Caenorhabditis elegans: one gene and its partner. The protein of the gene in region 1 purifies or fractionates together with the protein of each later gene. This does not show direct contact. Each region holds a gene or a part of one and is shown in the gene's direction. Other genes may lie near its edges. The genes, in order: crn-2 and ttbk-8.2.

Region 1 (3,378 bases):
TTTAGAATCGATTATTGTCAATCTCCCGCAGGTTTGTAAAAAATATTCAGCAGGTGATTTATTTTAACTGGATAACTTTTCAGGTCCGCTCAATGCCGACTGATAAGGAATCAGCTCTTGCCGCAAATAAATCATTAGCAGAATGGAATTTAGCTCAAAAGCCGAGAATCGATGCTGCCAAAACGCAAACGGTTGATCTCTACGACCAAGTAAAAAAGCTCCAAGGAGAAGTTGCCGTGCTGAAAAGTCAATTGGACTCTGTTTCCTCATCAAAATCACTTGATACAACATCGAGCTTGATGCAAGTCGCCGCACAAGAAGCTGATGATGATGCAGAAGCCCTATTCACACAATTTGAAAATGGAGAAATATCCGTGGAAATTTTCCTGAAGCAATTCAAAGATAAGAAGACAATTGCTCATCTACGAAAAATCAAGTCTGACCGTCTCGCAGCACTTCTTCGTGAACAAACGTATTCTTCATATGCTCAACCAACTGTACCTCCTCCAATGCCACACGCTCAGCCTGGATACCCAACAGGAAATCACATGCCTGGAATAGGAAATATTCAATTCGGATCTGGCTATTCAGGATATCCAAATATTTCTCAACCTTCTGCTGGTCGTCATCCATTTTTCTGAATTCTTTCGCTCGCTTTTATAGATTCTTTAATTCTTTTCCGACAAACTGGTCATCGCTTGTAAATATTTGAAAAAATAAATTAATCATCTTGAATAATTCATAAAATTTTCACAAGTTCAGGTTGAATCCGTTTTTATTTGAACTATTTTTTCAACATCCTCTATAAAAATATTTTTGAATTTTCAAGCAGAATGTCATCCCGAGCGGTCTCCTTATTATCTCGCGTGATCTCACAGAATCGAGGACTCGCATCGCTACGAGAAACTGTTGGAGAGCGTGACGCCAGTTTGCTCTACGAGCCGAAATTTCAAGATAGTAGAGAGTTTCCAGAGTACGTTCGCCAAGTTCTCAAAAATTTGTTAAATTTAAAAAAAAATTCAGGTACAACACAATTAACGTCCGAATTCAAGGACACGACTTTGGATCGCTAGAAAAATATCAAGCATACATTCATAAAACTGCGAAACGATTCGGATTTACCGTGGTGGATAGTTATGCTGTCGCTGCTCAAACACAAAAAGCAATCACCTATAAGCCGTACTCGACGGTTTCCGAATCTGAAATTGATATGTCCACATACGATCGCGTCGTCCGTCTCAGTGATGTTGCCGCTCCCCGATTCTCACTTTTCAGTCAAATTATTCGAGCACATATTCCCATTGGAGTTACTGTAGGTTTTAAAAAAATGTAGATTTCGTAAAATTAGCCAATTTTCGATGTCGTAATAACATGAAATATGATGAAATTTATTTCAATCAAAATATATTCTTCAGATGACGGTGAAAGAACACGAGAAAGTTGATGAAGACTCCCGATATATTCCTGATTTGTTATTGAAGCAGAAGCAAGAAGAACTCAAAGCATTGGATGATCCGAATGTACGCCGCAATCTCGGATGGGAGTAAAATTTAATTTTTTATTTAGTCTATAACTTCCTATAGTCATTTAGTTTTCACTGTTGCTGTTGATAAATTCTTTTTGAAATTTTCTTGAATATTAATATTCTCTGTTCAATGGACTTTTTTGCCTTTACAATGCCTTTTTCTCGATTTTCGCCTTCATTTTAACGCTTATTTTCAAATTGTTATCATATCAGAATTCTCGGAATATCATCAAGAATAACCAGGATGGCGTTGTACGAACTCGTCGACATCGGAGCCAATCTGGGTCATCCTTCATATCAAAAGGATTTGAATGATGTGCTCGATCGTGCCAAGCAAGCCGGGTTGTCGAAAATTATGGTTACTGGAACCAGCGAAAAAATTAGTCATGAATGTGCAGATCTCGTTGAAAAGTATCCGGGATTTTTGTATTTTACTGCAGGTATGTTACCGAAACTTTCAATCACGCCCTCGTTATCAATTTAATAACTTAAAATTCCTAGGCGTTCATCCGCACGATGCCAAGGATTGGAATGATGGAACATTGGAAGCTCTCAAAAAATTACAAGAAAACCCGAGTTGCGTGGCTGTTGGCGAATGTGGTCTCGATTTTAATCGCAACTTTTCTCCACAAGATGTGCAAAAAGAAGTGTTCGCAAAGCAAGTAGATATGGCTGTAAAGCTTCAGAAACCATTGTTCATTCACGAAAGAGAAGCTCATGAAGATATGGTTAAAATATTAACAGCTGCCGGACCTTCGTAATATTTTTTTCTTAATTTTTCAGCTTGTTCTATAATTTTTATTTCCAGCCTTCCACCCGCAGTCATTCATTGCTTCACTGGGACCGTAGTGGAGGCGAAGAAATATTTGGAAATGGGGTTCTACATCGGATTGACAGGGTTCCTCTGGAAAGATAGATCAGATAATGGAGTGCAGGCAGGGCTTCGATCTGGAGAAATTCCGATTGGTATTTTTTAAAAATGAATTATTTCTTAAAATTATTAATTTATTTCAGAAAAGCTGGTTCTTGAAACTGATGCACCTTATATGTACCCGAAAATCAACGATAAAAAGATTCCAAAAGAAATCAAAAGCCTAATTACCCCGGAAACCGAAGCGCTTCACAATTTCTCTTCGTTCAATCGGAATGAGCCGTGTTCTCTAGCAGCCGTCTGTGAGCTTGTCGCTGCTTTTGCCGGTCGAGATCCGAAGGAAGTTGCGAAGATTACGACGGAAAATGCGAAGAAAGTTTACAAACTAGAATGATTTTTTATTGGAAATTTTAAAATATTTATTTTCTGCGTGGAACCCGTTGTTATGATGTATTGTTTGCTATTGTAAATTGTTAAGCCAACCATTTCATGCAACGAGTATCATTATGCACGTCTCGACATGGAAGTGAGCAATATCTGAAAGAAACTGTATAATGTATATCACAGATTAAAAAAAAAACTTACTTGGCACCACATCGCGTACAACAGTACTTGGAAATAATGCCGCAAACTGCACAGAACTTTCTTGCAGGTTTTTCAGAAGGAGGTGCTGAGCTTAGTTGATAAGCATTCACTCGTCGATAATCCGGCTCTGCTGAGTCTAAAATTGCCTTGCTCTGCTCGATTACATGTGCATTGAACGATTTTTTGAATCGTTGCTTATTAAACTCCGGACGGGCGAGTTTTCGTCGACGCGCTTTTTCACCATGAACAATTCCTGACTTATCTGAAAAAATTTAAATAATGTTTACATTGATCTTCAATTAGGGAAACCCCACCTTCTTTCACTTTTTTAGCTTTTTTCGCAGACGGACCACCGATCATTTCATCGTCGAACTTTGGGGCGTTTTTATTCCAGACA
Region 2 (4,254 bases), on another chromosome or scaffold:
CGTAAATTTGCATAGCTTTTGAAAGACTGATGCGCCATCATCACTTTCGGAAAAAAAAAACAAACCCAAAAAAGCACGTTCTCGGACCCCAATGCTTGCAGAATCCATTGGAAACGTATGCCAAAGTCATTCCAGTTGGGATTAATCTCTGTTGAACGAAGAAATCAAACATACAAGCGAAGAAATCAGTTATTGCAAAGTTAACGATTAACGTGGCATATGACTTGATGACACGTGGAGTTTGGAACAGTGCCAAGTAGGCTAACAAGGCATTGAAACACATTCCAAGCACGGAAATTATGGCATGAGCACATGAGAAGAGAACAGCAAAATCAAACATGACTTTGATTTCTGAAAAAGAAAAAACGGTTTCAGGGTATTTATGTAATGGTTCGAGCTAATGTGGTTGACAATTTAAGAATCTTTTTTATATTGAGATACAAATACATTTCTTATTCAAAGAAAAAAAAATATTTAACTATAAAGTTTTGTACCCTGTCTGGGTATGCATTTAAAATGATTAATTGGAACGTACTACATAATGGATACAATTTTAAAATAAGGAAGTCTCATTTGTGTGATAAAAGTTCAAAACTTCTGAATATACTAACTAGAACACCTCCTTTCCTGGTTATTTTGTCAACCAAGTAAATAATAGAGTTCCGAAATCAAAAATCGTGTTTTGATTTTATGGAAGAATTGTATAGAACAATACGATTATTACTCTATTTATTCGAAATACGTGAGTTTTTAAATAAAAAACAAGAAAATGGAGATCAAAACTATTGAATTTATTCTAGTTTTCGAATATACTAGAGCATCAATTAACGGATTTTAAAAAAGCGAAATCGTCATTGGGGGATAAGTATGAACAAAAATTAGTACGCATTTAAATAGTTGCCGGAGCATGAAACTAGAAAATTCACGGAATTTGAATTTCAGCTACTTTTAGTCATTTCTGTAGATTTTCGCAAAATAATTATCTGAGCGGGCTAGGTTTTCCTAGCTTTTTCAATAAAAAAACAGCAAAAAATATATTGTAAACTTTAGTTTTTCGCCTTTGAAAAACAACGCATACCGAATAAAGAAGAACGAAAATTCTGGTTACTAAACCGTATAAAGTGAACTCTTGAAACTGTAAAAAATAAAAAATAAAAATTTTTTAACCAAATTTTTTAAAGCATGAAATAAAAAAGCTTCTAAAAATTATAGGTAAGTATAATCATTATATATTGCTTTTCTAATCCCATCCTCTATTGTTTTTATTCTCGATTGTTCTCCATTCGGTTCCACGCCTTCTCAATAAAATGATCGTTTATCTATATATTTCTCATTTTAGGTAATCTGTCATTCTTTAGGTAATCTGTCATTAGTGAGCGCATAAGCATTGTGCTTAATAGCTTTAGTCAGACCATTGTCTGATTTTTGACCTCTTAAAAAGAATTTCTTTGAAAATGATTCATAAAGCACTTTCAAATAAGGTGCTTAAACTTCAATTCTGAGTCACTTCTGCTAAAATTATATTTCAATAAATTGGAGACTGAAAGCATTATAAAAATAAATAAAAGTTATCCAAAAAGGGTTCAAAAATTACTGTAAGAAGAGCTTTGGTTTGTTATATCTGAACCTAAAAGTTTTGCATATCAAATGTTTGCATTTTTTCTTTTGCCTTTTCCGGTTTAAAATAAAAATAAAAAAATTGAAAACAAATAGGCGCATAAGCTTATACTCCGTTCTATAATAATAAGTATCATATGCTCTCCTTGGCCTTTGTAAGCGTAGAAAAAGAAACAAATCAGTTTTATGATTTTCATCTTTAACATTTTTTTTTTCAATTTTTAATGTCACGTTTTTTTTTAATTGATTAAAAAATTATCTCTTTAATTGCAACTTTATTGAAGATAATTTTTTCAAAAAAGTTTAAAACGTGGCCACCTCCGTGTCATTATCTTTGCTCCACATCTAAGCTCCGCCCAAACATCACCCCAGGGTAAAATCAGAAATTCAAAACCAACAATTCAATCCTTACAATTTTGGAGTTTCATTGAAAAACCAAACGGCTTGTCAGACGAACATTCAAGATGGCCCAAGAGCTCATTCAGCTTAATCCCGGACAACAGGTGAGTGAGAGAGTTCGCTGCGAGACCCGCGAATTTCAAAGCTTTCAGGTCGAGAGATGGAGCATCGAGAAGAAGTTGGGAGAAGGAGGATTCGGTGCGGTGTACCGTGTATTCGACGCAACCGGCAAATACGCGATGAAAGTGGAAGGAGCCAATGAGCAGATCCAGGTACATCACAGCACAATTGTTCATTTGAATTTTTTCTGCATTTTTGAGCAACAGTTTTTGTTTCTATCTTTCGGAATCTTTCGGTCATTCTTCTTAGAATCTTAGAATTGTTCGGTTTCAAGTTTCACTCTTACACTAGAGCGCAAATGAACCAACGCTCGAATAATTGTGAGTTCGACAGAGCGCATATGATGTGTGTTTCGTGTAGACCTATGTCCCATCCTAAGCCTAAGCCACATTTAAGCCTGTAGGAGCGCAATTTCTACATTTAAGCCTGTAGGAGCGCAATTTCTCACCTGAGACTTTAAGAATAATTTCAGGTGTTGAAACTGGAAGTTTCTGTGCTCAACGAGCTCTCAAAGCGTGGAAATCGTCATTTCTGTAAGATCGAGGACAAGGGACGCTTTGGAAACTTCAACTACGTCGTAATGACACTTGTCGGAAAATCGCTTCAAGATTTGAATAAAGCTGGGGTCGGTGGGCACATGTCGATGGGTTGCTCGATTGGAATCGGCATTCAATCGTTGGAGGCACTCGAGGATCTTCATAACATTGGATACCTTCATCGTGACGTCAAACCCGGAAATTACACGATTGGACGTCCCGAGTTGAACGAGATTCGCAAGGTCTACATTTTGGATTTTGGAATGTGCAGAAAGTTTACTGGGAATGATGGAACCATTAGAAAGCCACGCCAAGCTGCTGGTTTTCGTGGAACTGTCAAGTACGCTCCAATCAGTTGCCATCTTCAGAGAGAACTTTGCCGGTATGTGCTCAAGCCCAATCCCAAATCTAATTGACTCTAATTTCAGCAAGGACGACTTGGAGACCTGGATGTACATGCAGGTTGAACTGTCGCACGGAACAATTCCATGGCAACATATCTCTGACATGAACCAAGTTGGTCAGGCCAAACAAGCGATCCGTAACAACCTTGGGACCCTGTTCCCACCGCCATGCCCACAACAATTCCAGGATATTATGCGTATGGTTGATGCAATGAAATACTATGATGCACCCAACTATCAAGCAATATACGGAATGATGCGTCAAGCTTATGGTGCTTGCGGATCCAACGAGAATGCTCCGTACGATTGGGAAAATGGAGGACCAGCTGCTTACTTGCTCCACTAGAACATAGACTTGATATCGACTACTCCTTTTTTGTATTGAAATAAAAATGATTATGATGAAAAGTTTTCTGTTTTGTTATGTAACACAAATGATAGAAATTATGATAGGGTCCTGGCACAATCAAAAGTTTTTAGCTACCGTACCAGATACTTCATCTTGCTAAACTAGAGCTTCTATGCAGGCCCTCACCCGCCTGCCTCACCTGCGCCTTCTGAATAGTGTCCTGCTGAGCCCATAAGGTCTACCTATATGTATGCATCAAAACGAGAAGGCCTGCTTGAGGAGACAAGGCTCCAGGTTCCCAGCGTCTACTTCCCATGATTTTCATCATAAAATATTTGATTATGTTGGAAAGGCTAAATTTTTCTTGAACTTGTTTCGAGATATATTTGAATTTTAATTAATTTATTCCGATTTTTGTCTCATAACTGGCATATTGTTGTAAACAAATTTTTAAGCTATTTATACAATTTACAAAAACCTTTTTAAATGAATTTTACCCAGTATAAGCATTGCTAGTATAGATATTACGTGTTAAAGATGATTCTCCAGGTTCAACACGAGTCGTTTTGAAAAAGTAGTGCATGATAAATCGCCGGTACGGAGTAACAAAAATAAAAGAAGCTAGTGGAGAAAGAAGTGGAATCAAGAGAAATGACGAAAATGTAAAGTATTCAAGAGCTGGATGATTGTAAATTCCAAATTGCCCAATGGCATAAGATGTTACTCCGAACAAGTAGAAACCAGGTATTGCTGCTTGATAGGTTAGGGCCTGAAAAGGAAAAATTATGAGAAGCATAACCAATATAATGGTCGGTATTTTAAGACTTAG

What was found.
Region 2: the proteins of crn-2 (region 1) and ttbk-8.2 fractionate together in Caenorhabditis elegans (co-fractionation; one large-scale study listed by BioGRID). This does not show direct contact.

The regions. Positions count from the first base shown.
Region 1 is NC_003283.11:5,592,877-5,596,254, forward strand, and holds crn-2 (Deoxyribonuclease TATDN1), read left to right. Parts: upstream 1-1,738; 5' UTR 1,739-1,769; coding exon 1,770-1,965; intron 1,966-2,026; coding exon 2,027-2,282; intron 2,283-2,333; coding exon 2,334-2,491; intron 2,492-2,539; coding exon 2,540-2,790; 3' UTR 2,791-2,869; downstream 2,870-3,378. Other genes in the region: vps-37 (VPS37 C-terminal domain-containing protein), read left to right, coding at 1-31, 84-641; mrpl-48 (Small ribosomal subunit protein uS10 domain-containing protein), read left to right, coding at 834-973, 1,024-1,312, 1,416-1,547; zhit-1 (HIT-type domain-containing protein), read right to left, coding at 2,870-2,933, 2,982-3,243, 3,296-3,378.
Region 2 is NC_003282.8:5,629,900-5,634,153, forward strand, and holds ttbk-8.2 (non-specific serine/threonine protein kinase), read left to right. Parts: upstream 1-2,028; 5' UTR 2,029-2,081; coding exon 2,082-2,120; intron 2,121-2,168; coding exon 2,169-2,288; intron 2,289-2,446; exon of another isoform or gene 2,447-2,467; intron 2,468-2,608; coding exon 2,609-3,054; intron 3,055-3,100; coding exon 3,101-3,422; 3' UTR 3,423-3,480; downstream 3,481-4,254. Other genes in the region: srd-12 (G_PROTEIN_RECEP_F1_2 domain-containing protein), read right to left, coding at 66-340; srd-13 (G_PROTEIN_RECEP_F1_2 domain-containing protein), read right to left, coding at 3,919-4,194.